Callithrix jacchus: one gene and its partners. The protein of the gene in region 1 interacts with the protein of each later gene in a biochemical or structural test. Links are inferred from orthologs where the notes say so. Each region holds a gene or a part of one and is shown on either strand. Other genes may lie near its edges.

The links.
Region 2: the proteins of CLTC (region 1) and CLINT1 form a complex in vitro, tested with the Homo sapiens proteins (2 studies listed by BioGRID). The link is inferred for Callithrix jacchus from reciprocal best matches to the Homo sapiens genes CLTC and CLINT1.
Region 3: the proteins of CLTC (region 1) and ARRB2 form a complex in vitro, tested with the Homo sapiens proteins (3 studies listed by BioGRID and IntAct, with this or other methods). The link is inferred for Callithrix jacchus from reciprocal best matches to the Homo sapiens genes CLTC and ARRB2.
Region 4: the proteins of CLTC (region 1) and TOM1L1 form a complex in vitro, tested with the Homo sapiens proteins (2 studies listed by BioGRID and IntAct). The link is inferred for Callithrix jacchus from reciprocal best matches to the Homo sapiens genes CLTC and TOM1L1.
Region 5: the proteins of CLTC (region 1) and HIP1 form a complex in vitro, tested with the Homo sapiens proteins (3 studies listed by BioGRID). The link is inferred for Callithrix jacchus from reciprocal best matches to the Homo sapiens genes CLTC and HIP1.

The regions. Positions count from the first base shown.
Region 1 is NC_133506.1:94,261,618-94,267,187, forward strand, and holds part of CLTC (clathrin heavy chain 1), read left to right. Parts: coding exon 1-124; intron 125-239; coding exon 240-389; intron 390-477; coding exon 478-609; intron 610-723; coding exon 724-834; intron 835-1,950; coding exon 1,951-2,121; intron 2,122-2,451; coding exon 2,452-2,673; intron 2,674-3,829; coding exon 3,830-3,850; intron 3,851-5,570. UniProt on the Homo sapiens protein: Clathrin is the major protein of the polyhedral coat of coated pits and vesicles. Two different adapter protein complexes link the clathrin lattice either to the plasma membrane or to the trans-Golgi network.
Region 2 is NC_133503.1:20,564,842-20,570,221, reverse strand, and holds part of CLINT1 (clathrin interactor 1), read left to right. Parts: intron 1-1,293; coding exon 1,294-1,586; intron 1,587-3,432; coding exon 3,433-3,637; intron 3,638-5,317; coding exon 5,318-5,380. UniProt on the Homo sapiens protein: Binds to membranes enriched in phosphatidylinositol 4,5-bisphosphate (PtdIns(4,5)P2). May have a role in transport via clathrin-coated vesicles from the trans-Golgi network to endosomes. Stimulates clathrin assembly.
Region 3 is NC_133506.1:106,267,907-106,274,247, forward strand, and holds the start of ARRB2 (beta-arrestin-2), read left to right. Parts: upstream 1-1,471; 5' UTR 1,472-1,561; coding exon 1,562-1,584; intron 1,585-5,511; coding exon 5,512-5,542; intron 5,543-6,341. UniProt on the Homo sapiens protein: Functions in regulating agonist-mediated G-protein coupled receptor (GPCR) signaling by mediating both receptor desensitization and resensitization processes.
Region 4 is NC_133506.1:111,302,343-111,308,515, reverse strand, and holds the start of TOM1L1 (TOM1-like protein 1), read left to right. Parts: upstream 1-1,943; 5' UTR 1,944-1,975; coding exon 1,976-2,033; intron 2,034-4,803; exon of another isoform or gene 4,804-4,831; coding exon 4,832-4,916; intron 4,917-6,173. UniProt on the Homo sapiens protein: Probable adapter protein involved in signaling pathways. Interacts with the SH2 and SH3 domains of various signaling proteins when it is phosphorylated. May promote FYN activation, possibly by disrupting intramolecular SH3-dependent interactions.
Region 5 is NC_133503.1:10,646,667-10,652,866, forward strand, and holds the start of HIP1 (huntingtin-interacting protein 1), read right to left. Parts: upstream 3,774-6,200; 5' UTR 3,710-3,773; coding exon 3,590-3,709; intron 1-3,589. UniProt on the Homo sapiens protein: Plays a role in clathrin-mediated endocytosis and trafficking. Involved in regulating AMPA receptor trafficking in the central nervous system in an NMDA-dependent manner. Regulates presynaptic nerve terminal activity.

The DNA of each region.
Region 1 (5,570 bases):
ACTGGGACTTGAGCGAGCTCACATGGGAATGTTTACCGAATTAGCCATTCTGTACTCTAAATTTAAGCCTCAGAAAATGAGGGAGCACCTGGAGCTGTTCTGGTCTAGAGTGAATATTCCCAAGGTAACCAGTCATTATAACACAGTAAAGCAACTGTGTAGTTAAAACTAATACTTAAAAATATTTCTTTTTAACGCTGTTAGCTAGACTTATATCTAAAGACTTGCTTATTATGCAGGTGCTAAGAGCTGCAGAACAAGCTCATCTTTGGGCAGAACTGGTGTTTTTGTATGACAAGTATGAAGAATATGATAATGCCATAATTACCATGATGAATCATCCAACTGATGCCTGGAAAGAAGGGCAATTCAAAGATATCATTACCAAGGTGTGTACTTTCTTCAGAAGATAAAGGATTCAGAAGGAGAAAGCTCATTAGGAAGTAACTGACTTATGTATGAATTTTCCCATTGTAGGTTGCCAATGTGGAACTATACTACAGAGCAATACAGTTCTACTTAGAATTCAAGCCTCTGTTGTTAAATGATTTGCTGATGGTGCTGTCTCCACGGCTGGATCACACTCGTGCAGTCAATTATTTCAGCAAGGTAAAGTAGTAATTTTAAACCAAAGTTTCATAGCAAGGAATTAGGACATATTTGGATAACTTTTGTCCCTGGGACTTCAAAAATGTGCTGTATTTGTAACTCTTTATTTTAAAGGTTAAACAGCTACCACTGGTGAAACCATATTTACGTTCAGTTCAGAACCATAACAACAAATCTGTGAATGAATCACTCAACAACCTTTTTATTACAGAAGAAGATTATCAGGTAAAACCTTTTGATTCTTGCACGTATTCTCAAGACACATAAAGTTATGTTTTCCCGTTTTTTAAAAAAGCCATTATCATTTAGGATTGTAAACAGTAGGTGCTTGCATACCCTAGGATCTAAGTTTAGTAAGGTTTCAGTATTGATAAATCTTCCTTCTTCTAATTAAGTACCAAGTTTTCAGAATTTTGCTCAGAAATTGCTTTTCCGAGCAATTTTGCTCAAAATACTGCTTTTGCTCAAATATTTGCTCAAAATACTGCTTTTGAAAAATGATTACTTTATCTCTAACATCTAGATTATAGGTAGAGTCAAAAATGTCTTTGATCACTTAATTCATAAAACTTACTTGGTATTAACTGCATTTATTCACTGCTTTTCTTGCCTAATGTTTTATTAGTGTTTGTATAAACTTTCTCTTTTGAAGGATTTCATATAAGCAAAAGTCAAGTAGAGTTAAGGTTAAGCTACTTGCTCTTTTTTCTCTCAATTTTCTTTGAGGCTCAACGCATGCAGATCTGTACTGCTGCCATGCTGGGTTTTATCAGAAGTTTCTCTAGAGCATAAAATCTTGCCCTCCATGCCTGTAATCCCAGCACTTTGGGAGGCCAAGGCACGTGGATCACGAGGTCAGGGGTTCAAGCCAGCCTGACTACCACAGTGAAACCTGGTCTTTATTAAAAATACAAAAAAATCAGCCAGGCATGGTGGTGCATGCCTGTAGTCCCAGCTACTCCGGAGGCTGAGGCTGAGGCAGGAGAATTGCTTGAACCTGCGAGGCGGAGATTGCAATGAGCCAAGCTCGCCCCACTGCACTCCAGCCTGAGAGTGAGACTCCTTCTCAAAAAAAAATCTTACCCTCCAAATTAGAAATCTTGTCAATTTCATAGCCATTGTTAGTCCTTGATACTGAAAATCTTGGAGAAAATGGTATCTTTAGGAAATCTTTACCTTTGAGGACTTTATTGTCATAGAATTAAGAAACTTACCTTTTGATGCTTGAATCTAAGTGTCATATTACATGTTACCATCTAAGGAGGTCTTTGATCAAGGACAGAATATAATGTTGAACAAAATACTGATCTGGCATTTGGATGCTTCTTTTTTTTTTTAAAGGCTCTGCGAACATCAATAGATGCTTATGACAACTTTGACAATATCTCGCTTGCTCAGCGTTTGGAAAAACATGAACTCATTGAGTTCAGGAGAATTGCTGCTTACCTCTTCAAAGGCAACAATCGCTGGAAACAGAGTGTAGAACTGTGCAAGAAAGACAGCCTTTACAAGGTTGATAAAGTTGTGGGGCTGGGGCTGTTAAACCGGGCCTAGAATGGGTGTTACAAGAGATTATGTTCTATAAATAAAAGTATTGGTTTTGTGAATATGAGAACTGACTTTTAAGGGCTGTCTTATGTTAAGGCCAAACTTGTTTGGGGGAAAAAGGGCCTTTAGCTTATCTGTTCTTTCGAAATTTTAATTTGAATGATATAACTAGGAGGCTTTTTTCCCCCCTTGCAAACCAGATTTATATTGGAAAGTTTCTATTGTTTTTCTTGGTTTACTAATTCAGTATGTTGGGTCTAATGTTTTTTGACTTTCACGATTTTCTTTGAATAGGATGCAATGCAGTATGCTTCTGAATCTAAAGATACCGAGTTAGCTGAAGAACTCCTGCAGTGGTTTTTGCAGGAAGAAAAAAGAGAGTGCTTTGGAGCTTGCCTGTTTACCTGTTACGATCTTTTAAGGCCAGATGTCGTCCTAGAAACTGCATGGAGGCACAATATCATGGATTTTGCCATGCCCTATTTTATCCAGGTCATGAAGGAATACTTGACAAAGGTAATCACTCTTCTAAGTGTATTCAGAACTAGTTTTCTTGCAGATATGTAAAATTCTACATGCACGTTAATTTTTTTAATGTTTTTTTCTCTAGAAGTCAGTCATTTAGTCAATCATAAAATATTCCTGTTCTTTTGAAAAATTTTTTTAATAGCTGACAAAAGACACTGATTGGAAAGGGACCTCAAATGTAGCTGTTAACCCACAGTGTATTCATGAAGGTGAAAATCGGTATTTTGGGTTTTTTTTAAAAGAAATATTTGATACATTTTATTTCAGGATAGCATCTTTCTCAAAATCAGTTTTTTACTCAAATTTCATAACTAGTATTCTAGATTCCCTTTTATTTGGTTGGTTCTTGACTTTTAATGATGTCCATGCCTATTTCCCCTGGGGAAGCTGCTTGTATATTCTTAACGTCCTGTTAATCTTCACAATTTTTTTTGATAGTTTAACCCCTGATTTAAAAATATAATAGGTGAACACATTAAACAAGCTGGGGGTATAATGTCTTTATAAAATTCACTGTTCATTTTAGTGTCCCTTTTTGATGTTAGAATATTTTTTACTCACCCTATCTTCAGCACTTACTAGCTTTCTCTCTGTAGAACATTTTTAAATGGTTTTAGAGGATCCTTTTCGTCAAGCAAAAAACATGCTTAAAATCAGAGTCTCACATCTGATCCCTTCAGCCTGCCTAAGAGGGGAAAAAAGCAATACCAACAACCTCTACTATACTGAATTTTTCCTCAGGATACCATTGTGTCTGTTTAAAGTTCTTAAAGAATTAACATTTTCTGTATCCAGCGTAAAAGAAAAAACATGTTGCCTTATCTTAGCCATAGATGAGCATAGCTTCTTAAACATAATGCCAACTTGTAAGACCTGTCTCTAAGCTGCTGTTAACCTAAGTGCTGTAAATTTTACTAGCGATTAAGCTGCTTTCTTTCGTACTGTAGCATAAATTTTTCTGCAGTAAGCTTTGAAGTTACAATTCTAAATTTTGCTTCCAGTATGCCCTTTATTTTCACTTCTCTCATACCTTTTTAGTGGTTAGATGTTTCTTCCCTAAACCTTTGTTGCTGATTCTACCTTTTTATGCTCAATATGGAATTTGATTTTTTTTCTAAGCTGCACCTTCTGAATTCCTTTGCAGGTTGATGCAATAAAGGAAAAGGTGAAAGTTGATTCTTTTCCATCTTTAAGTCTGGAGGACTAAGTCTAAGGAATTTGCATGATTTTTTTCCTTCCTTTTCTACACTGCTGCTGCTGCTTTTTCCCCCCAATAAATTTTCACTAAAGCCTCTGCAAGTCCCTTGAAACATAACTTTAATAGAGCTGTAGGACATTAATAGATGTTTGCTACTAATCGGCTAATAGGCTTTAGGAAGGGCAGGAGGCTAATCAGTAGTTGGTTCACAGTCTCTCTTAAATATATTATTAAAAACTGAGTATGGTGAGTTTCCATATTAATTCCAAAGTAACAGGAAATTTATCTTCCCTGTCAGGGTATCTGGACCATAATAGGACTATGATAATACTTAAAGTAAATTAAAACAGCCTCTGGTTTTACTTTGTGAGCTTGCCTGACAGTTGTTGAATTTATATATGTATATATATGCCCTAAAAGGCTTTTTGGGGATTTTTTTTTTTTTTTTGTATTGAAGGACTGTGATCCAGTTTCTGATCTCTTGATTCTTACTAATTTTTTGCTGAAAGTAGACACAAGAGATACTAGCTGCTTCCGAAGAGACTTTCCTCATGTTTCTCCAGGTGTCCGGTTCTTATGGTGCTAGTCCATTAAGAAGAATCAAAACCTTTTTAATCACGAGAGTCAAGCTTGCTATAATTGTTGCTAAGCAACATGAATTATTTCTAACAAAGTATTAACTTCTATTTTCTGTATTAAGGCATACTTCTGAAGCTAGCTAAAATTTGCTCTCCTGTTTATCAGTTGGCTTGCCCAAGGAGGTCAAATTCAGGCACCTTTTGGTTGCTGCTTCCTTCATTGGCTTGTCTCCATCCCAGTATAAATGAAACAAACTTCTTATATCTGTTATCAAATTATGGTTAGAAAAGGGTGGGAAGGTAAAGGAGAATTGAAACAAATTTAAAAGATTTGGGTGGGGGACAATGCCTTGGGATTATGTTGAACCAAACTGGAGTCACCACTGGAACTTAGGGCAAACCTGAGTAAAATGCATTGTGTGTGAGACCCTTCAGCAGCTAGTAAGCAAGGCAGTTAGAAAGCGTGTGTGTGAAAAACAGGTAATTGAACTGCAGTGTTATGCATTGTTTTAAATGAAGCATGTACAACAGTCATTGCAATTACATCATACTATTTTTGAAACTCTTATAGCATTGCTGTGGGCTGTGTGTGTTTCTTGAGAGCCTGTATAGCAAGTCATCTTCAGATCTCACTTCTTGCTTCAGTACTTTTGCCTTTTTTTCATGCACACATACACCAAAATAACTGACTGCATGTTACTTTTCCTCTGCAGCATATTGCAGTCTTTGTGGAAAAGCCTTTTACATTTTAGTGAATTTTCAGTAGTGCAGATGGAACTGAATTCATTGACATGCTTACCTGTAGTTTTTCTTTTTAAATCCAAGGATCAGAAACTTTTGTTACAGCTTTTAACAAAAGCTTGTGTTCTTAAAAGCCTTCTCTGCTTTTTTTTTTTTTTTTGAGCAATCTAAATTGGATCAGTGGAAACAAAAATTGAATGTCCCGGTGCCAGAGGCTGTCCCATTATATAGAAGAATCAAAATTTATTGCTGAGCTTGATGCTATTCCTTTAGAATTTTCCCCCATCCCCAAACTTTCTACATCTATGCTGGGGCACTGTGATATTGCTAGCTCTTCTAAGTCTTCCATGTGTTTTCTAATAGGACTT
Region 2 (5,380 bases), on another chromosome or scaffold:
CTTACTATTTGCTTTCAGATGACAGTTTTTATGTAGCTCCTTCTTCACCTTTTGCTTTTTCAACTTCATTTATATTTATTTGTTTCTTTCAATATAAAAATTGATAAGAGGTTAATTGATAAGACTGTGGTGATTTAGCGTATGGATTTTATGCATTCAACCTTCAACTTGCAAAGTACAGTGATAGGGTTGTGCTTGTTTCTGGCTTGGTTGTGTTTTTTAATATTACATGAGTTTTCCTCCTTTCTTTTATTGTAAATAAATTAACCAGTCCCAGTTGAAGCAGGCAATGTGCTAAGGTTATATCATGGTTATAGCCCCGGTGTTATCAGTAGAAGCATGGCCAAATAGGTGAGAACTTCTTTTTTTTTTTTGGAAACCGAGTCTTGCTCTGTCACCTAGGCTGGAGTGCAGTGGTACAATCTCGGCTCAGTGCAACTTCTGCCTCCCAGGTTCAAGCGATTCTCGTGCCTGAACCTTCTGAGTAGCTGGGACTATAGGCATGTGCCACCACACCCAGCTACTTTTTAGTATTTTTAGCAGAGATGAGATGGGGTTTCAACATGTTGGCCAGCTTGGTCTCGAACTCCTGACCTCGAGTGATCCACCTGCCTTGGCCTCCCAAAGTGCTAGGCTTACAGACGTGAGCCACCGCACCCATCCCTTAGTGAGAACTTCTTATAGAAATTTACTACCCCTATTCATAATTTTATTAGTTTTTTTTCCTCCATGTTTTTCTGTATGGGGTTATTTTTTTAAAAAATTTAATCTTATGAATTTGGGGTTTTACAAATGACATGAGACAGTATAAATTGTAGTTTGGTTTCTATTTGAACCTTTCAAATAATAAACTCAATGAGTTTTCTCTGATTCTACTGAGTATCTTCTCACATGAGGATTCTAGAGCTCCCAACAAAAAGTTAAACTAGTTTAGAGGTTTCTCTTTGCTTTTCAGAGTCCCAGACTAGATCATATTTGTTTAGCTGGAAGTATATTTGTTGTTGCATACTTGATTGAAGGGGACTTTTTATGATAATTTCAATGTGTCACCTACAGAGCTTTTAAGAGATGGATTTTACTTTATATTTGGGAGGTTTTTTGTTCTGTTTTTGCCACCTTGTTAACTCTTGTGTAATATTTATGAGAAAGAATACTGTCCAGATGGAGATAGTACTTGCAGATGTTAATCTGGATGGACTCAGATCAGCTCTAATTTGTTTCAGTTCATAGATTGTTATATTTGTTCTGTGCATTTCATGAAGTTTCTTATCCTTAGAGTTATTTCTGTCTTAGTAACAGCAACAAGTGGGAATGGAGACTTTGGTGACTGGAGTGCCTTCAACCAAGCCCCATCAGGTCCTGTTGCTTCCAGTGGCGAGTTCTTTGGCAGTGCCTCCCAGCCATCAGTAGAACTTGTTAGTGGCTCACAACCAGCTCTAGGCCCACCTCCTTCTGCCTCAAATTCTTCAGATCTGTTTGATCTTATGGGCTCATCCCAGGCAACTATGACATCTTCCCAGAGTATGAATTTCTCAATGATGAGCACTAATACTGTGGGACTTGGTTTGCCCATGTCGAGATCACAGGTAAGTTGTCTGGTTCCGTTGGAAGTGGTTACTGATAATCTTTGAGATTCTTTAACTCATCTAATGATAGATTAGTATGAAACAGAAAAGCAAGCCGTGTGTGTGTGTGTGTGTGTGTGTGTGTGTGTGTGTATGCATCTGCACGTTTCATTTACCTTATACTCTTTCCCATAGCATAGTCATTTACATTCTGGAAGGCAAGGCATTCTCCCCCCATCTTGTAGTCACTATAAAGCCAAGCATGGTGCCTTTGTACAGAGGAGGAACATGCCAAAAATGTGTTGTTATGACAAATTGGTATTTAGTAGTGTTTTTAAATTGTCTTTAAGAAAAAGAAATGGAGATATTGTTTCACTCATGGCAAGTATTCACTTAGTAAAATACCTGGTCATGTCCCTAAAGAAATATCACTCATTGATTGTAAATAATCATTGCTAATATGAAAATCATTCCCTCAAATGGCAAATGTTCTTCCCAATTCTGGACCTGCTCTACATTATATAAATGTTTTATAGGCTCATCTTTCAACTTTCATTTTCATAAAGAAAAACTAAAATGAGAGCTTCTTCATTCACTATTTTATAGTTAAATCCAAATTGTCTACTACTAGCTTAGAATTCAAAACAAGTGTGGGCTTGGAAAATACGTGTCTGAATTGTACCAGGAACTTGCTATTTTTGACTCAAACTATTGAGAATATGTGTTTATGATGCTATTTACTCATTTTAATGTGTAGATTCTCCTCTGTAGGGTATTAGGATGAAGGAAAAGAAGAAAGAAGCAGAAAGGTGACTGCTCTGTAAAACAGAAATAAGACCTAATATATGAGTTAAGCATAAAGCCGATCTATTTTATTTGCAGCCTTAATTGTAACTGTCATAATTCTTTGCATTGGTACTTTTTAAATTATAAATTATTCTCCTGTTTCTGTTCTGTTATTTTTTTTTTTTTTTTTTTTTTGAGACGGAGTCTCTCTCTGTCGCCCAGACTAGAGTACCTCTGCTTCTTTCCTCTGAATTTCTTGTTTCCCATACATTGGTCTGTGTATATCAGGTTCACTTAGTGTTGCTCACTTTAGGTAGTAGAAGTATACACAGAGCAGGGAAATGTCAGTCAGATATGTGAAATATAAATTGCTTTTTGACAGTTTTGCCTTATATCTCTGTATAATGTGAGACATCATACCTGTTTTGTTTTGTTGTTTTTAGAGAATCTCACTCTGTCGCCCAGGCTGGAGTGCAGTAGCACGATCTCTGCTCACTGCAACCCCCACCTCCCTGGTTCAAGCTATGCTCCTGCCTTAGCCTCCCAAGTAGCTAGGACTACAGGCACGTGCCACCATGCCTGGCTAATTTTGTATTTTTAATAGAGACGGGATTTCATCATGTTGGCCAGGCTGGTCTTTGAACTTCTGACCTCAGATGATCCGTCCACCTCAGCCTCCCATAGTGCTGGGATTACAGGCGTAAGTCATCATACCTGGCCTCTCAATTCTGTTTTGGAAAGAATAAATTTCCACTTGTGTATCTCCTTAAAGCCATACTAACCTAAAATTGGTAGTAATTGGTAGTTCCCCTGGGCATTTGCCAGGGATGGTGACTTTTAGACTTTGAGTGATGAGAGAATAATTGTTAGTGTACGTAAGTTGTTGATTTTATCCACTTCAAACCTGATTGGGACTTCAGAGGAACCTCTTTGGGAAACTAATGATTTGGGGTATTGAAGACATTAGCATAGAAATTCCTGGTTCTCTTTGTTTCAGAAGTTCATTATTGTGATTAAATTGCCATCTGATAATTTTAATAGAACAGATGCTTAATTTTTAGAGCATTTTTCTATTTTCCAGCCTTTGCAAAATGTTAGCACAGTGCTGCAGAAGCCTAATCCTCTCTATAATCAGAATACAGATATGGTCCAGAAATCAGTCAGCAAAACCTTGCCGTCTACTTGGTCTGACCCCAGTGTAAACATCAGCCTAGACAACTTACTACCTGGTATGCAGCCTTCCAAACCCCAACAGCCATCACTCAATACAATGATTCAGCAACAGAGTAAGTTACCTTAAGACGTCCCACTTCTTTATGTACTTGCAGTCTTTTGCCCTAATGCCAGGAGTACTTCAAACTGAAATAAAAATACGTGATATAAACTGTAACTAACAGTTAACCAAATGCCTGTTCACTTAAGATATTTTCACAAAATATTTACTGGATATTCCTCCTGGCACACCGAATTAATTTATATTTTGTTCTTGCCATGATAACGTTTATTGTATTGTGGAGAGTTTTGAGGACCTGATCACTAAAATAAAAATTTGCTGTACAGATTTTTTTTTAAATATAGGCAAATATGATGGACAAACAAAAATCATCTGATTCTGCAGTTGAGGGGTAATTGCCATTAATACATTTTTTTTTTTTTTTTTTTTTTTTGAGACAGAGTTTCACTCTTGTTACCCAGGCTGGAGTGCAGTGGCGTGATCTCGGCTCACCGCAACCTCCGCCTCCTGGGTTCAAGCAATTCTCCTGCCTCAGCCTCCTGAGTAGCTGGGACTACAGGCGTGCACCACTATGCCCAGCTAATTTTTGTATTTTTAGTAGAGACAGGTTTTCACCATGTTGATCAGGATGGTCTCGATCTCTTGACCTCGTGATCCACCCGCCTCGGCCTCCCAAAGTGCTGGGATTATAGATGTGAGACACTGCGCCCGGCCAATACATATTTCTTTCTGTCTTTTCTTTTTTGAGAAGGAGTCTTGCTCTGTCACCCAGGCTGGAGTGCAGGGATGCAATCTCGGCTCACTGCAGCCTCTACCTCCCAGGTTCAAGCAATTCCTTGCCTCAGCCTTCCGAGTAGCCAGGATTACAGGCATGTACCACCACACCCAACTAATTTTTGTATTTTTAGTAGAGATGGGGTTTCACCATGTTGGCCAGGCTGGTCTTGAACTCCTGATCTCAGGTAATCCACCTGCCTCGGCCTTCCAAAGTGCTGGGATTACAGGCGTGAACCCCCATGCCCCAGCTGCTTTCCATCTTTTCTAAGCATATTTTTAATACTTTAAATCATTCTCTTTATATTGATTTGTTTATTGCTGTTCTTACTCAACTTTATGATCATTTTCCCTGTATTGAATAATATTCTTAGGAAAAATGATTGTTAGCTTTTAATAGTTACCATATTAGTGTATGATTTCCCTTGGTAATTATTTCAGTTTCCAGCTTTTTGTTATTACAAGATTTTATATAAATCTTCATACTTTTGATTTTTTTTCTTAGTAAAATGTTCTAAATGAAGTTGATGTAAACTTTGTAAAGATTTTTGTTATAAATCAGGATTTTGTATAAATCTTCATACTGATTTGTTTAATAGAATGTTCTAAAAATAGAAGATGTCGATATAAACTTTCTTAAGATTTTTGATACACGCTAGCTCTTGACAACTTGTTAAGTAGGATTTAACAATAGGTTTTGTAGGAATATTCTTTAATTTGGCTGTTTTTCCCCAGTCTACTCTTACTGTTTCTATATCTCTGGGGAGCCAGAGCCAATAGTCACTGAATGTATTTCTCAAGAGGAATCAGTGCAGATTAATTGACTTCTATATAAAATTACTGTAAAGGAATTTTAGGGGCTAACGAAGTATGGATGGTCAAGAAGATACTAGTTCTCTGCTCTGTGAATCTAAGAATTTATTGTGGTAAAGTTCTTCTGTCTGTTTTCTTCTGGTAGATATGCAGCAGCCTATGAATATGATGACTCAAAGTTTTGGAGCCGTGAACCTCAGTTCTCCAT
Region 3 (6,341 bases), about 12 Mb from region 1:
AAATACTGAGACTATAGGGTGAGCCACCACGCGCAGCCCCCTCTGCTTTAAAAACCACTACCGGAAAAATAAAAAAAATTAAAAAATTAAAACCACTACCGGTCCCATGTGTCCTACTGCAGGGCCCTCAATCTCACTCCATCTGCTATACAAAATCCTCCGCAGCCTGTTCCAGGCTTCTTCACCAACACTTCACAACAGGATGTGCCTTGTCTTTCTCTTTGGAATGGCCTTTCTCAACTGACCGTCCTTCAGAAACACTGTCCTCAAATGTTCTCCACTCTAGACAGCCTGCACTCCCTCCACCCCTGCCCTGGCCAAGCACTGTTAGCTGCTGTGTCTTCTGACTCAGACCTCTGTAATAGCATTCCTGGGATCATAATACCTGTGTATGTGTCTCCTCAACTATTCTAGGAAGGCAGGGGCCATGGTAAATTCTATGTGTCCCCATCAATTGGCATAGCGAATAGCAAAAAATAGGCATGGATGGCCGGGCGCTGTGGCTCATGCCTGTAATCCCAGCACTTTGGGAGGCCGAGGTGGGTGGACCGCGAGGTCAGGAGTTCAAGACCAGCCTGGCCAAGATGGTGAAACCCTGCCTTTACCAAAAAATACAAAAATTAGCCTGGCGTGGTGGCGAGCGCCTGTAATCACAGCTACTGGGGAGGCTGAGGCCGAAGAATCGCTTCAACCCCGGAGGCAGAGGTTGCAGTGAGCCGAGATCGTGCCACTGCACTCTAGCCTAGGCGACAAGAAAACTTAGATAAAAGAAAAATAAAAATAGGCATGGATGGATGGGTTGATAGATGGGTGTGGATGGGAGAGAGTGAGTGGATGTTACCTGGGATGAGTGGCTGAAGGAGACTGATAGAGAAATTGGAACAGGGAACCCTGCAAAGATCAAATGTAGACATCAGAGGGAGCTGACAAACTGCAGTAAAGATGTGGGAGGCCGGGCCACAGAAAGCGGCACGCTCCGAGGCGAGCGGACGAGCGGCGCGCACTGAAGCAAGCATCACGTAACTGAACCGCTCACCCACGTGTGCATCCCCTCTTTCCTCCTTCTTAGACGGCTCTCCAGCTCATTCCAGCAGCCCCAACATCCCCGTCGCCCCCGCCGCCACAGAGAAAGCAAACCAAAGGGAGGAGACCCCCTGCAGGTTTTGGATGCCCAGGGCCAATCGAAAGACTTCGATCCCCTGGAAGGCGGGTGCATTGGTTTAAGGAGGTCCAATCGGTTTCCAAGGGGTTGCGGTGGGGCGGGGAGATGGGCGGGAAGAGGGGGAGCGGGCCCCCTGGGACGCAGCGCGAAAGGCTGGGGGCGGAGCCAATGGGCGCGAGTGTCTGCTAGGAGAGGGCGGGCTGCGCCGCGGCGCGCGCGATCCGGCTGACGCATCTGGCCCCGGTTCCCCCGGACCAGAGCCGGGCCGGGAGGGAGGGGAAGAGGCTAGAGCGCGGAGGGCGCGCGTGCGCAGTGGTGCGGGGAGGAGCAGGGATCTTGGCAGCGGGCGAGGAGGCTGCGAGCCAGCCGCGAACCGAGCGGGCGGCGGGCGCGCGCACCATGGGGGAGAAACCCGGCACCAGGTAAGGGAGGTGGGGCCACGCGGCAGGGTATGGGCGGTGGCTCGGGGCGGGTGCTGGTACGGTCCCAGACGAGGACACAGCGGAGAGGATCTGGGGGCCGGACACCTGGGTCCCTAGGGGCAGCCATCCGGGGCCGCACGCGCAGGTCTTCGAGGATAATGGTGGGGGGGAAATGCCCGGGCCCCTGCAGAAAGCGAGGCTTGAGCGGGGGATGAGAAAACCGGTGTCGGGGTTCTCGCAGGGATGTGGGGCTGGACTACTGGGCTCTCCGGTGCAGGCTGCGTTGCAGGGACAGAGGAAGGAGGAGCAGGTGGCTGGCCCTGAGGGGTCGTGTACCGGAGGCTGGATGCCGGAAGGGGGGATCACCTCTAGACTCGTTCCAAGCCAATGGAAAGCCTCCAGTCCAATATCCCCCAGGCAGTTGCGCTGACCACACCTGTCCCAAGGCCGAGCGGCTCCTCATCCAAACTTCTACCTTTCCCTGGGTTGCCAGGAGCAACAGCTTCATCTTGGGGGAGCCGTGTGTGTGGCGACCCTCCCTGAAACTGGATCGTATCCCTCTCTCTGTGGGTTGTGGAGGCAGTATTCACCCTGGGCACGCGTCCACTCCCCGGATGTTTTCTGTGCAATCGAGGCTCTTTCCTTCCACTGACACCCTGAGTTCTCTTTTTTGGTCTCTAGCAAAATCCACTTCCTGTTGTGACTCAACACCCCCAAGGGGCAAGGGGTGAATGCCTGAGTCCCGGGGAGCAGGAGCAAAAGGCGAAAAGGTTGGGGCTGTAGGCCTCAACCCAGAGGGGCTCAGGAATGGGGATTGGTCCTGAGCTCTTGCTTGCTCTGCAAAACATCATGTCGACCCCACTTCCAACCTATGGAGTATGAGAACCTGGATTTCTGTGCATCAAGTAAACGAGTATCAGAAAGAGATGATCAGAGAAATAATCGGTGTCCTGGATTAGGGTTTAAACACCCCAGAGAAAGGGGAAGTTGCTGACTTGTGGGAGGCCCCAGATTTCCATTATGTGGTTCAGGGAGTGGGACAGATGGACCAAAGGGACTGCTGATTTGGCACAATTTCCTGCACCCCAATCAAATTCTGGGCCACAGGAAACAGAAGAGCAGGAAGTGTGAAAGGACGTCTGCTTCAGCTACCCCCTGCCTCCCACTGGGCACCTCCCTGGTCATCCCCATGCTCCCCCTCCTTGTCCAGCCTAGTATATGCACGCTGCTCTTCCCCAGCCTGGCAGAAGGTGGCTGGGTTAGGATCCAAAGGGCAGGTGCCTTGCAGCTGCTCCAGGACAGTTGCGCCAGAGCCACACTCCAGTGGGCCAACTGATTGTGGCCGTCACAGCCCTGTGCCAGGGCTCCTAATGGGAGGACACCCTGGGACAAAGGAAAACCAGAAGCAAAGAGGCAGGAGAACCTGGATGATGCCACGGCACTAAGCCCCCAAGCTGGAACAAAAGATAGGGTGTTTATTCTAGATGCCGCCATATTGATGTTTATTCTCCTTTATTGGTTGGGAATACCTGGGGGCCTCCATACCCTTTGCCTTACAAGCTTTGGACAACTTGACATTCTGGGAAGAAGGGGCAAGTGAAGTTGTAGCGGAAACTGGGCCTATGGTAGAAACTACTTTAGGGCCAAAGGCCAGGGTCATTGCTCTCCTATGTGCTCCAGCTGTCAGAGCTGTAGACCAGATGGGAAGATGGTTAGGTCTTACTCAGACACTTAAGCAACCTGCCCATTTGGGTCCTCTGGGAATGGGGTGGTAGAGTTGGAGGAGGGATGGGCTAGTTGGCAGGATTTCACTTTTTACTATCTGGGACCTTTTCCTATCTCTGCTGAGGCAGAATAGAGTAGAAGCAGCAAGGTGGTGCTTCAAAGAACAGACCACAATTAACTGGGGTTGCCAAACCCTTCCTTACCCAGCCATGGGTGGAATCCAGGCTGAAGTTGTTTCAGCAACTGGAAAGCGAATACTCTTCAATTCAACAAACTATTAATGCCAACTGCAGAGACAGATAGTATAATATTGATTGAGAGTATGGACTTGGAGCCAGACTGCCTGGGTTTATATGAATTCCCACCATTTACTCTCTCTGTGACCTTAAACAAAACACTTGACCTCTCTCTGCCTCAGTTTCCTCACTTATAAAATAGAGATATTAGGACCTCCATCACTGGGTTGTTTTATTTATTTTATTTAATTAATTTATTTATTTTTGAGACAGAGTCTTGCTCTTTGCCCAGGCTGGAGTGCAATGGAACAATCTTGGTTCACTGCAACCTCTGCCTCCCAGATTCAAGCAGTTCTCTTGCCTCAGCCTCCCAAGAAGCTGGGATTACAGGCACGCACCACCACACCCAGCTAAATTTTGTATTTTTAGTAGAGGCAGGATTTCCCCATGTTGGGCAGGCTGATCTGGATCTCCTGACCTCAAGTGACCTGCCCACCTCAACCTCCCAAAGTGTTGGGATTACAGGCATCAGCCACTGCTCCCAGCCTTCTTTTAATACGCTTAACCCAATGGGCCAGGTGCAGTGGCTCACGCCTGTAATCCCAGCACTTTGGGAGGCCGAGATGGGCGGATCACCTGAGGTCAGGAATTGGAGATCAGCTTGGCTAACATGGGGAAACCCCGTCTCTACTAAAAAAATACAAAATATAGGGCAGATGTGGTGGCTTAAGCCTGTAATACCAGCCTTTTGGGAGGCCAAGGCGGGTGGATCATGGGAGGTCAGGAGTTCAAGATCAGCCTGGCCAATGTGGAGAAACCCCATCTCTACTAAAAATACAAAAATTAGCTGGGCATGATGGCAGGCACCTGTAATTCCAGCTACTTGGGAGGCTGAGGCACGAGTATTGCTTGAACCCGGAAGGTGGAGGTTGCAGTGAGCCAGGAGTACGCCACTGCATTCCAGCCTGGGCAATAGAGTGAGACTCAGTCTCAAAACACAAAATATAGCCAGGCGTGGTGGCTCACTCCTGTAATCCCAACTACATGGGAGGCTGAAGTAGGAGAATCTCTTGAACCCCAAGGGGGTGGAGGTTGCAGTGAGCAGAGATTGCATCGCTGCACTCCAGCCTGGGCGACAGAGTGAGACTCTGTCTCAAAAGAAAAGATTATTAAAAGAGATAACACGTTTGAAACACTTGGAACAGTGCTGGGCATGGAGTACCCACCCTGTAATGTTAGCCAGCATTATCATCATCATCATCATCATGTGGCTGGCAGTGTGCTGCAGATGCCTAAATGAATAAGGCCTCTAAGGCTCACAGTCTGAGGAGGGAGGCAGCTAACTGCCCTTGTGTCCTGCCACACCACAAGTAAAACATAAACAAACTGAGCCAGGAACCCAAAACAAGGAGTGACCAGGGTCTGGGCTGGGTCAGCTTCCTAAAGGCTGGACCTTAAAAGACAAAGAGGCTTTTAAGCTGCTAAGGTCGGAGATGGGGACAGTTGGAGGTGAATGGATAGAGTCGAACTGGGCTAGGGCCTATGGTAGAAACCATTTGAGGGTCAAAGTCCAGGGTCATTGCTCTCTTATATGCTCCAGCTGTTGGAGCTGTAGACCCGATGGAAAGATGGTTAGGTCTTACCCAGATGCTGCGGCAACCTGCCCATTCGGGTGCCTGGGGAAGAGCCTGGGTGGTTCCTAGGGCAATCAGTGGCCATTACTAGGGAGGGAAGGGGACTAAGGAGGGTGGACAAGAGAAGGGGCATTTTTCCTTGCTGTCATGTTAGAAATAGGAAGGACTTTACAGGAAGAAGTGGAAAGGGGCAGAGCTGGGCAAAGCCCTGCAGCCTCAGGCAGGAGTCCTGGGTGAGCTCTGCTTCCCAGGCCTGGGAGGGACAGGGTCCTGGTGTGGGGTGCCTGCTGAGTCTGAGGGAAGCAGTGGGGTTTCCCTTTCTGTTTTGTTAGGGTCTTCAAGAAGTCAAGTCCTAACTGCAAGGTGAGTCTCCATGGCACTTATCCCTTTCACCCTCCCTGGGCCCCAACAGAGTCCAGCCTTCCCCTAAAGGATTGCCAGCCTGCCCCAAGATGATCCTCAACCCCTAGCTCCCCACTTCCTGTGACAGCTAAGAGCTGACTTCCTTCCCTCCTGAAGCCCCTTGCCACAGAGGCTGCTCAACCTGAGCCAGCCACAGGGCTGGGTGGGGCAGACCCGGGTCCCCAAGCAAGACCACAGAGGAGGAGGCCAGAAGCAAGCCATGTGCCTACAGCCCTCCTAGGGGCCAACCCAAGGTGCGCCACCCTGGGAAGAGTTAACAGCCCCCACCCAGGCTGTGGCCTGCTTATCCTAGAGCCCCTTGAGGGGACATAGTGAGGGTGGCAGCTGCTCTCTAGCTGGCTGGTTGGGCTGAGTTCTCCCTGAGGATCCAAACACACACACACACACACACACACACACACACACACACACGTACCTGGCTGGTTGGGCTGAGTCCTCCCTGAGGATCCAAAGACACACACTCATGACACACACTCACAGACCACACATGCATGCAACACACACACACACACACCCCTAGCTGGCAGAGTCCTCCCTGAGGATGCAAATACACACATACATCTGGCTGGTTGGGCTAAGGACACACACACACACCTGCCCACCTGGCTGGTGGGCAGTGGTGTGCAGAGATTAGGGAGCAGTTAAAAAGCCTAAAGGTCTGCTAGCCTGAGAAATGCCGCCACCCTCCTTTTTAACACTACTGGGAAAAAACCTGGAGAAACTCCCTATAGCCCAGCTT
Region 4 (6,173 bases), about 17 Mb from region 1:
CAACACCCTGGAGGGCACAGAAAGAGAGAAAAACTTCTGCCAGGCATTGCTAAGATGGAACACAGGTAGTACTCATCAACCTTGGTTCTGTTCACCCAAGCATCAAGTCCAGAAGACTCTCCTTGCTACTGCTTCTCCTCTTCTCAGTGCCTGAGTCCTGTAACGTAAGGAAATCAGACACAGGAAGAAGGAGAAGGGAGACGGGAGGAAGGAGGAAGGAGGAGGGAGGAGGGAAGAGGGAGGAGGGAGGAGAAGAAAACCCACATAAAAGTATGTAAAAAATTGATCTCTCTGGATGCTTGGTTCCTTCCTAGTTCTCACTGTCTGGTGGAAGGCCACTGACACCAACATTGGCCTAAGCTAAAATTGGCTTTTTCAGAGATCGTAGGTTGATTGTAGGTTGCAGAAAAGACAAAGTATTTTGCTAGAGGCTGTAGCATCAAATACAGATTAGCTTGGTGATGTCACAAAAGAGATGTGTCAGCAGAGGCTGCAGTGATGACTAAGGAAGTTGATAAACAGCACTATTTGAAATAGCTACTTGCCCTGAATAGGCAGGGGGAGAATATTAGTTACAGGTGGGACAAATCCCATTATGAGAAATATCATCACAACAAGAATATTTCATTCTAGATTTTAGAATCTCAGGTTTTGGCTCACTTCAGTCAAGAAAAGTTATAAATAATTGAGTTCGAGATAAATAATTAAATGTTAGTGCCTTGGAGTGCATGGCAATTGGTTTTGACCTCTATTTTAAAATTCACAAGACCACGGAAGTAAGTCAAACAAACCAGGTCCCCTTCGTCTCCATAGTCACCATCGCCAGGGCTAAAAACAGACTTGAAATGGGTGCCAGTTAGACTACAGGAAACAGGATCTACACACTATCTGACATCGCCTGGGGATACCTCACTCTCTGGCAGGCTTCTGCTGGCTGGAGATTGCTAACATCGCTAATCCGATATTAACTGAATGCAAAGGAATAGGAAATAAATTCTGGTTCTGAAAGTGCAGCTGGAAAGGTGTTGGGCTTCTCCAACTGGGACCTACATTCCAAAGCAGGTCTAAAGCCATGCATACTCCTTGCCAGAGGAAAAGGAAAGCCCCTCTCCCATTTTTAGAATCACGCTGGAGGTGGGGTTAGAAACCAAGAGCTTGCCTGGCGGCGCCCTGTGGTCCCTGGAGGAAACAGGAGAAAGACAGAGAGGGCTTGCTCCTGAGCAGCTCCAAATTCGAAGCCTATCATTCCTCCTAGACAACACCTACAGCTTTAAAGGGCAGGGCGCACACCTCCCTGCCCAGATCTCTAGGGCGGAGCAGGTCAAGGGTAAATATTTCTAGTTATTAAATTTATTCAATGGTTAACTATTAATTTTGTGGGTACCAGATACCAACCTAATCGGTTTACGTTCAAGAATCAGTTTAATGCCCACAATTCCCAGATTTGTGTTATTAACCTTCTATTATCTTTGGTTTACAAACGGGAACCAAAGAGGTGCACAGAGGAGTGGCACTCTGCCCAGCCAGCGACGGGATCAGAGCCTGGGTCTCTAATTCCCAGGTTGGAGATCCCAGGCTGCCTGGCTCCTCTTTTGCGCGGCGAAAAGCCCACTTGGGATCCGAGCGGGCGGCCACGTCACACTCGCAGGCTCCGCACGCCCGCCGCTGCCCGCCTATACCACCTGCAGCTGGCAGCGCCGCCTCCTCGCGGGTCCCTCAGGGCGCGCTACAGGTGCGCAGGGCGTCCCGAAGCCCCGCCCTCGCGTCCCTGCCCCTCGCTCGGCGCCCGCGCCTAACGCTCGGCGCCTCACCCCCAGTTCCCGCGCCCCGCAACGGCGGCGCAGGACGCACGGCCTCAGCCTGAGCCCGGGAAGCGCTCGGGCGAAGAGGAGGAGCCAAGGGTACCCAGAGGGTGGAGCCGGGAGCCGGAGAGCTGTGGAGGCGGATTTCCTGGACCGGGCCTCCTGGCGATACCATGGCGTTTGGCAAGAGTCACCGGGATCCCTACGCGACCTCAGTGGGCCACCTCATAGGTAAGGAGGCGCGGGGAGAGACGCCCAGGCAGGCAGGGGACCGTGGGATCCTTTTCTGCTTGATCCATTCTCAGCCTGCAGAGGACCGAGTTAGTCCAACTTAGAGAAAATTCTTCCCCTCCCCCGCAACTTTCCCAGGGCACCCGCATTCCAGCCCGGCCCCCTTTCGTCGTTTCCTTCTTGGCCAACTCACTCTAGCACCTCAGTCCTCAAAAATGTACCTTCCTTTCGATGCCTCCTGGGGAGCGGAACCAAACAGGTGAACCCCGGGAGTCAGGCATGGAGTGTTAGGGCCTCCATAAGGAGACACCAGAAACTTCTCGGCCTGGCGAAAGTTTTTCCTAAAGGCACACTCTTCAGGGCACGGTATTGTTATGCCCCTTTTACAGATCAGAAGAGGAGGCTCTCGGAGACTAAGTGACGTGACCTTACTGTGAGGAGCAGGTATCCCCAGACCAGTTTTCTCTAGCGCCAAGTGTATACAACCTGGCTGTCTTTTCTGGGCAGAGACAATGATACTTGGCATTGGAGTGAAGAGGAGGGGAACAAAGGAGCCATCTAGGGCCATGGAGGTGTCTAGCAGGCCACTAGGGACTACACCGGCATCCACCTAAATGATTTATCTCTCCTCTGGATGTACCGTGCATGATGTATGTAGAAGCCAATGATTAGACTCTTACCAGCACCAGCTCACTGCTCCCTCTTTTCCCTGATTCCTTCCTTGGGAATTGGGTGAGGCATGATTGCATATTAATGCCAGGCAAAGTGGGATGATGAAATCGTGAGAACCTAGTAGTTGTAGTATAGAGGCCCAGATTTGGAAAATTTAGGTCACAGCTCAACTAACTGCCTTGACACTGAGCACACCGCTTAAATATAACCTTAGTTTACACATTTTTTTTTTTTTGAGACGTAGTGTCTCACTGCCTGGGCTAAAGTGCAGTGGCCAGATCTCAACTCACTGCAACCTCTGCTTCCCAGGTTCAAGCAATTCTCCCGCCTCAGCCTCCGGAGTAGCTGGTATTACAGGCGCCTGCCACCATGCCCGGCTACTTTTTGTGTTTTTAGTAGAGACAGGTTTCACTATGTTGGCCTGGCTAGTCTCGAACTCCTGACCTTGTGATCCGCCCACTTAGGCCTCCCAAAGTGCTGGGATTACAGGCATGAGCCACCGCATCCGGCCAGTTTACACATCTTTATAAGATGGTCACAGTAGCTACCATTGAGGAGATGCTTTCCCTTAATGGCTGTACTTCGTTTGATATTAGAATGAACCCTGAGCAGAAATGGGTTCAGACCCATCATAGGCAGAAGAAATTTCGGCAGTTCATCTACTTAATTTTTTAATTCCGTAAACATGGGCTATGTGCCTGGACTTGGATCACACGCTGGTGAGGCCAAGGTAAGAGGTGGTCTCAAACCTGAGGGAACTCACTTTCTTGTAGGGAATATGGGCACAGTTTTGTGCTGCACCTTTGCAATGCAAGAAAATGCAAAACACACAAAACTTACAAAAAGGGGGAAATGAATTCTGCTGTGGCTTTTGAAGGGTGAATGGGAGTTTTCTAGAAAGATAAGAAGATTGGGAGGAAGAGCGAGGAATGAAGAGGAAATGTCTGGCAGACTGAACAACAGATACTTAACAGCACAAGATTGGTCAGCTTTGTTTATTTGGAGCCAAATTCAAGTGGTTCTTTTCCTTGGTTGAAAGCAAGCTAAGCTTTGGGGTTCCCCCAGACAAGTCCTTTCTCTTTTTTCCCCCTTCTCTAGCCTTTTTGTTTTTTCTCCATTTCCCCCAGAACCCTGTGTTTTCATGCTTAGGGATCTTGTCCTTTCTCTTAGGAAGATAGTAGCACATTCATAGCAAGTGTTCCGTTACTCTTTCCAGATAACATCTTGTATTCTTAAAGGGGCTGTCTGGAGAGGGAAAGATGCCATATTATCTAATGATAGGGTTCCAAATGCAGAAGCATTCTGGTCAGCCTGGTCCAGCTGTGGTTAGTGTAGATGCTTATTATTATTAGTCCAGATAGTTATTCAGTGCCAGTTTGAAATAATTAAGACTGATAGTAAAAGTGTGTGTGATGGAGGTTTTTACGTAGTTAAGCAGTGTCTTTGCAAGTATTGGTTGAAGTTATAATGACTGGTAAAATTAGAAGAAATCGTGAGATTAAGATGATAGGAGAATAAATGTATTACTTTTATTTGGAGTTGTGCCAATGTTTTGGCTCCTAAGACCATTGCATTACTTCTCTCCTTTAAAAGTTCTTTCCTCCTGTCCCCAGAGAATAAATTATTTTTTAAAAAAACAAACAGTGGGATCAAACAACCTAGATTTGAATGCCAGTTCTACTTTATACTGTCTGTATAACTTCGGTAATTTCCTAACCTCTCTGAACTTCTATCTCATCATCTCTAACAGTAGGTTAAATGAGATGGCATACGATAAAATTCTTAGCACTATGCAGTTCACCTTGTAGGTAGCTGCTCACTAAGCCTTAGTTCCCTTCTCTGAAAGCCAGGCAGTCAGAGATTTAGCTGGCCTGTTCTGGGCCTGTGGCCAGGTGTTATGCTTGCAGTCTTTATTAATAGGTCACTCATTGTTGCTGCAGCAGCGCTCTGAACTTGGGTTCTGATTGATTCCTGAATTTCTGAGAGCTGTTCTGAAAAAGATCACGTTGCCCTTTGGCAATATAAACTTAATGGCCCTTGCTAGTGCAGCCTAGGCAGATTATTTCAAGAATACCAGACATTTTTTATTCTGTTGTAGCTCAGACTCAACAGCTTTTTCTTGGCAGAAAAGGCTACATTTGCTGGAGTTCAGACTGAAGATTGGGGCCAGTTCATGAACATCTGTGACATAATTAACACCACGCAGGATGGGTGAGTACAGCCTATTTTCCATGTGTTTGCCTCTGACAAGAAGCATCAGAACTACAGCACGTTTTCTCTTGCAAATGTTTCAGTTTTCTTGTTGCAAGAGTGTTTTCATCATCCATTAGGCACCCTCTACCTTTTGAAGACTTGTCAGGTTGAAATATTGGGGCAGCTGCTTGCTTCAACATGTGGAGGGAGTATCCATAAATCCACTATAATTTTTCTCCTCTTGGCAGTTTCTTAAATAGTTTCAAATTTTGTCAGTGTGAAACTCAAATTCCTTCTGTTTAAAAGATTGAAAAAAAGAGACTGTTTCATTCTTTAGGAATATCTCCAGCTTCCATTGTTAGTATTTGATGAAACTGTCAAATATTATCAAGAAGCTGGTTGACTCCTGGTAGTAAACTATTTTTGGGCAGTTGTCTTTAGTAACCAGGAAACAATCTCACAGTCTTTTTTCCTCCCTGTCACAGGACAGTTTTTTTTCCTTCTAAATGTCAACTCAACCATGTTTAAGCTATATTCTTGTAGCATATGCTATCTTTTGTTCTACTTCTTAAACTTTAGGGAATTGAAGTTATAAGAAAAAAGTCATAAGAGCAAACTGGTTTGCGTTTAGTCAATTACAAGGTATTATAAGGAATACAATTCTGGTAATTTTCCAGTGCATATTAAAATGATAATTGACAGTAAAAGATTTAGTCTAGCTTATGTTGATAAAGAAAACATCAAACTTAATTATTGATTATAAATAAATGAAAAGTGTTTATGGTTAGCATTTTAAGTGTTTATAGTTTTTTCCCTATAATCCAATTTACCATGTTTACCAATTCATTGATGATACAAAAAGAGAATCTTAAAATACATTTGGACCCTTCTAAACAGTTCTTTCTTTATAACATAAAATTGTGGCGTATTGGCAGCTGACCTAGTTTGTTGTAATTCCTCTTACATCCCCTTGTCTATGAGGTGCTCAGGAAATACTAATCGTTTTAATGAAAATGGTAGCTTTCATTGTTTCAGAAGTTGCATTTCCTATAAATTGGTTCTGTGCATTGATAGAGGGATACAGGAATGAGCACATCTCATGAGTAGTACTTTATAAATGATAGTCTTGTACAAAAATATTTTATTTAATTTTCATATGGGGGTTGGTGGTATTGTCTGCCTGTATGCATGAAGAAATTTAGTTTCGAGAAGTTAAGTCATTGGATTAGGGTCCCACGGTAGAACCAAGGCATTGGTTTTCTGCTCCTTAGCCAT
Region 5 (6,200 bases), on another chromosome or scaffold:
GTCTCTTAACTCATTAAGTTTTTTAGAATTCATTTCTATATCTCATAATATATTGTCCCCTTTGCTTACCAATCTCCGCAGCCTCATAATACATTTGATAGATAGTTATTAAACAAAATAACTTTTTGCAGATTGACTAATGATGGGTTTTAGGGCTGTTCTTTTATTTCTTTTCTTTTTTTTTGAGATGGGGTCTCACTGTGTTGCCCAGGCTGGATTGCAGTGGCGCGATCTTTGCTCACTGCAGCCTCAGCCTCCTGGGCTCGAGCAATTCTCCCGCCTCGGTCTCCAAAGTTACTGGGACAACAGGCACACGCCACCCCGTCCTGCGAATTTTATTTTTTGTAGAGATGGGGTCTTACACTGTTGTCTGGGCTTGTTCTGCTTCTTTACTCTCCTACTCCCCTAAAGAGTTTTCAACCAGAGGCTGAGTGCAGTGGCTCACACCTGAAATCCCAGCACTTTGGGAGGCTGAGATGGGAAGATCGCTTGAGGCTAGCAGTTCAAGATCAGCTTGGGCACACACAGTGACATCCCCATCTCAAAAATAAAAAGATAAAAATAAGAGTTTCAACATCAGAAAAATTCTTTTTCTGCTCCACTCCACATCATCCCTACTCACCTCACCCAGGTCAAATCTGGCCAGTCACATGTCCCACAGAATGTAAAACACCAGAAAACACTGACCTAGACTATCCTGTTGGGCTGTCCCTGGATAGCAAGAAAACATGCCACTCATGGGTGGAAACTTTCACAAACCTAATTTCTATCACTGTTATGGGTCAAACTCTTATGCATATTTCTCTTGCTCTAGTTTTTACTTATTTGAGACTCTAGAAGAAATGGGTTGTTATAAAATAATATCTATTTATTTATTTTGAGATGGAGTCTAGCTCTGTCGCCCAGGCTGGAGTGCAGTGGCACAATCTTGGCTGACTGCAACCTCCACCTCCCGGGTTCAAGCGATTCTCCTGCCTCAGTCTCCCGAGTAGCTGGGACTACAGGTGCTCGCCACCAGATCCAGCTAATTTTTGTATTTTTAGTAGACATAGGGTTTCACTGTGTTGGCCAGGCTGGTCTCGAACTCCTGACTGTGATCCACCCACCTTGGCCTCCCAAAGTGCTGGGATTACAAGCTTGAGCCACTGCACCTGGTCTGTTTATTTTCTTACTTCATTTATTTAAAAACAACAATAGGCTGGGTGCCATGGGTCACGCCTATAGTCCCGGCACTTTGGAAGGCAGAAGCAGGAGGATCGCTAAAGACTAGGAGTTTGAGACCAATCTGGGCAACACAGTGAGACCCCATCTCTACAAAAATATAAAAATAAAAGGAATATACACACTGTTTCATGGAGCAAGAAGCCTCATACAACCAGGCAGCTAGCAGACGCACTAACATCCAAGACAGACAGAAAACTTCCTTCTTTTCAGGGGTCTGGTCCATGAAATCAGAGAACAAGCCTCAAACCCAGCTGGATCCTGGGAGGCAGAAGTGAAATGAATGACCATCTGCCACTTCCCTCCTGGGATAGGATCACCAGGTAGGGGAGACCCCCTGCCTCACACCATTCAGACACACCTGCGTGGGGCCACCTTCTCTTCTCCTTTTTCTTTTCTTTTTTTTTTTTTTAGAGATAGGGTCTCACTGCCTCACACCATTCAGACACACCTGCGTGGGGCCACCTTCTCTTCTCCTTTTTCTTTTCTTTTTTTTTTTTTTGTTGTTGTAGAGACAGTGTCTCATTTTGTCACCCAGGCTGGAGTGGCACAATCAGAGCTCACTGCAGCTTCAACCTCCTGGGCTCAACCTCCTGCCTCAGCCTCTCGAATAGCTGGGACTACAGGTATATGCCAACTCCAGGTTAATTGAAAATTTTTTTTAAAAATAGAGGCAGGATCTCATCGTGTTGCCCAGGCTCATCTCAAACTCCTGGGCTCAAGTAATCCTCCCACCTTGGCCTCCCAAAGTGCAGGGATTACAGGTGTGAGCTACTGCACCCAGCCTATTATTTTATTTTTTGTAGATACATGGTTTCACTATGTTGCCCCGGTGTGGGGTAGGGCAGCTCAGGCAAAGATTTTCAGAATAAGAAGAGGATGAAGTTCTCTGGGGGTGGAAAGGTTTATTCTTTTTTGTTTTTGTTTTTGTTTGAGACGGAGTTTTGCTCTTGTTGCCCAGGCTGGAGTGCAGTGGTATAATCTCAGCTTACTGCAACCTTCAACTCCCAGGTTCAAGAAACTTTCCTGCCCCAGCCTCCCAAGTAGCTGGGATTACGGTCGTCCACCGGCTAATTTTTTGTATTTTTAGTAGAGATGGGTTTTCACCATGTTGGCCAGGCTGGTCTCGAACTCCGGACCTCAGGTGATCCACCAGCCTAGACGTCCCAAAGTGCTGGGCGTGAGGTATCACACTATGCCAAAAGCTTTATTCTTTGAAAGATTCCATATACAGAACCCTCAGTCAGATTCTCACATCTTTTCTAACTCAAATCCCAAAGCACTTTCCCTCCAACCGTGTCTAGGGGAAGTATTCCTTACACATCAGGGGACCAGCCTCTGGCAGTGGGGGACCCAACTGGGTCTTCAAAGGTTCCACTCTGAGCGCAAGAGTGTAGAACAAATCTGCCCCTCCAACATCGGCACTGGGATTAAAAGAAGCGTTGTACTCTTTGAAATGGATTTTACATACAAATGAACGGATGAACAACATCAACATGTCAGCTTAATTCAGTCCAATCAATACACCAGGCATTAAAAACTCGGAGGTAAAAATGGATTGTGGCTTTTTGTTGATGACAATGAGGAATTTTGGCCCCGAGCCCTGGTCAGGCAGGACAAATAGGGCAGTCTGCCTAGTAGCTGTCAGGCACATCTTGGCGAATAAAACCAAAACCCCAAATCAGGGCTTGGGGCACCATGGAGCACAGTGGTTTCCACTTTTGCCCCCAAAGTCATTTTCCCAGCTTGGCCACACTTTGCATTTCCTGCATTCCTTTTCCCTGCTCCGACCCTTCGTCGCGGCCTCAGAGCTGACAGCTGGGGCTGGCCAGAGCCAAACAAGAGGCAACGAGAAAGGGGGATGCTGAGGGGTGCAGGTTGGAAGGGGATGTCAGTGCAACCAAGAAGTGATAGGAGGGGAGGAGAGGTCCCTTCACCCTTCACACTCCCAGTCCGGCGCCCCCACTCTCCGCCCCCACACGTGAGTCTCCAAGTGGCTCCCGTGCGCTTCCGCTGTTTAGGGGCACCCTTTCCATTCCGTCCCTTTTCAGTTCCTTCCCCCCCTCACCTCCCCTTGGGACCCCTGCCGGGTCCCCAGCCGCTCAGGCTCCGCTTGGCCGCACGCATCCTGCCTTCTCCTCCTAGCCCGCCCCTGACCCTCCTGCCCTTCTCCCCAGGCCAGCTGGGATACCCTGGGGTCCCCGACATTCCTGGGATCGCCCAGATCTGTACGCCAATGTCCCCGCTCACGACCCCCTCGCTCCGTCCTCAACTGGGGCCTGCAAGACTCCTATTCCCTTCAAAGCCCTTCCCGGACACCGCGTCCCTCAGGGTGCCCCAGGGATGCCCCGGGGTCCCCCGTCCTCACCTGAGTCCGCTCGAAGCTCTCGCGCTCCGCCGCCTCCAGCCCGGCGCCGACCCCGCGCCGGCTCAGCACCTTGGGCAGCGGGTTGGGCACCTGCTTCATGGAGCTGGCCATCCGATCCATGTCGCCGTGAGGAGCCGAGTCTGGGGCCCTCGGTCGCCCCGGGATCCCCACCGCACCGCCCGCCCCGCCCTACCCGCGGGGATCCGGCGTTAACGGGACGGCTCCCGCCTGCTATTGGCTGTGAGTTCTGCCAGTCTTCTTGAGACCCCGCCCCTTTCCGAAAGGCTTCCCCGCCCGCCCCCTCCCCAACCGAAGCCCCTCTGCGGGTCAGCCCCGACTGGCCCCTTGGGGCCTCGAGGCGCGCGGTGACTGGTCTGGAGTCCTGTCAGTCACCGGGGCCCGGCCGTTCGCGGCGGGGCCGGGGCGGGGTGCGGCCGGAGCGGGGCCTGGACGGGGCGGGGCCTGGGGGCGGGCTGCCCTGATCTGCCCTCGCTCGCCCCGCCCCCGCCCGCGCACCACCCTCTCCTCCCAGCGCCCGCGGTCCCCGCGCGCCCAGAGCGCGCTGCCCTCCGCCGAGCGCCGCCCACTGCCCTGCCTGCTCCTGCTGGGGGTGCCCCGCGAGGGCCCGGGGTGGTAGGCGGGGATCACGCAGGCTGGGAAGTGGGGCCTCCCCTGGGGGAATCCCGGCCCGTCTGCGAATAGCTCGTTAGCTCTTTCCGGGCCTGGGACCGGGGAGCGCCGGACCAGCTCCGCGGCCGCAGCCCCGAGAAGCGCAGCCCGGCAGGCTGGCGCAGCGTGGGCGCCTGGCCGGACCCGACCTCAGTGGGTAGCCGCCTCCACCCAGCCTCCAGGCTTCCCATCCTGCCCCTGTCCATGCCTTCTGCAAGGATCGCAGAGCCCAGGTCCGGGAGCTCAGGGCCGAGTCCGCGGGCACCTTCCAGGACCTCCCTTCCAAACCTCATCAAATGAATCCGTCAGAACTTATTTGTTGGTAGAAAGCCCTACAGGCACTTTCTGTTTTATCTTAGGCTCTGAGGCGCGCATCGCATCCTGCTCAGACGTCAGCCAGGGTACCAGCAGGCAGAGAGAAGTGTGATGCTTAGCAGAGACTCTGGAGAAAGTTCAAGGTTTTGGTTAAATTCCAATTTAGGTATTTTTGTTTGTTTTCATTTGGAGTCAGTCTCTCCCTCTGTCGCCCAGGCTGGAGTGTAGATCATAACACATCGTGGCCTTGAGCTCCTGGGCCCTAGCGATTTTCCTGCCTCGGCCTCTCGAGTAGCTGGGACTACAGGTGCACGCCACCACGCTTGGCTAATTTTTTTGCAGAGATAGAGTCTTCCTATGTTGTCCAGATTGGTCTCGAACTCCTCGCCTCAAGCGAGCCTCCCACCTTGGCTTCCCAAAGTGCTGTGATTACAGAAGTGAGCCACAGCACTTGGTGTAGATGCATTTTTTTAAAGTTATTTGAAACTCAAAGTAATGAATGGCACCTTTAGGCATAACAATTTGGTGATTCAAGTGTATTTTTTTTTTAATTTGATCAGGCAAGGTGACTCACACTTGTCATCGCAGCGCTTTGGGAGGCTGAGGCAGATGGACTGCTTGAGCTCAGGAGTTTGAAACTAGCATGGGCAACAGAGCAAGGCCCCATCTGTACAACACATTTTAGAATTAGTTGGGTGTGGTGGTGCAAGCCTGTAGTCCCAGCCACTCTCAAGGCAGGAGGACTACTAGAGCCAGGGAGGCAGAGGCCATAGTGAGCAAAGATCCGGCCACTGCCCTCCAGCCTGGGAGACAGAGCGAGACCCCATCTCAAAAAAAAAAAAAAATTACTTCTTTGTAGTGAAAGGAACGTTGCTGGGTTGCCCAGGCTGGTCACGATCTCCTAGGCTCAAGTGATCCTACCACCTCAGCCTCCCAAAGCACTGGGATTACAGGTATGAGCCATCCTGCCCCGACATTTGGGGGGGGGGTCGGGGGGGAGGGAGTCTTGCATTGTTGCTGGGCTGGAGTGCAATGGCGTGATCTCAGCTCACTGCAACCTCCACCTCCTAGGTTCAAGCGATTCTCCTGCCTCAGCCTCCCAAGTAGCTAGGAGTACAGGTGCCCAATACCATGCCCTGCTAATTTTTTATATTTTTAGTAGAGATGGGTTTCGCTATGTTGGTCAGCTGGCCTCCAACTCCTGATCTCGTGATCCGCTCGCCTCAGTCTTCCAAAGTGCTGGGATTATAGGCGTGAGCCACTGCACCTGGCTTTTTTTTTTAATTAATAAGAGCGTTTGGTAAAAATTCACACATCAGTAGAGAAGTGAAAAGGAGGCAGGCATTTGCAGTTACCAGGGAGCCACTGAAGGCTTTTGCTCAGACATTTGCACTGAGGAGCTTACATTGTGGGATGGATTGTGGGGGCCTGATGGAAGGGAGGAAATCAATGGGGACCTCTAGCATTGATGAGAGGCTATGAGGGCCTAGAAGAGAAACGCGAGGAGGAAGTTCTGTCTCATGGGAGGTTACCCAAATAAGACCTGGACACGGGGATCGGGGATGGGCGATGGCAGTGCCATTCAGGCTACATTTGCATGGCAAGGACTGGACTGGTTTCACCCTTA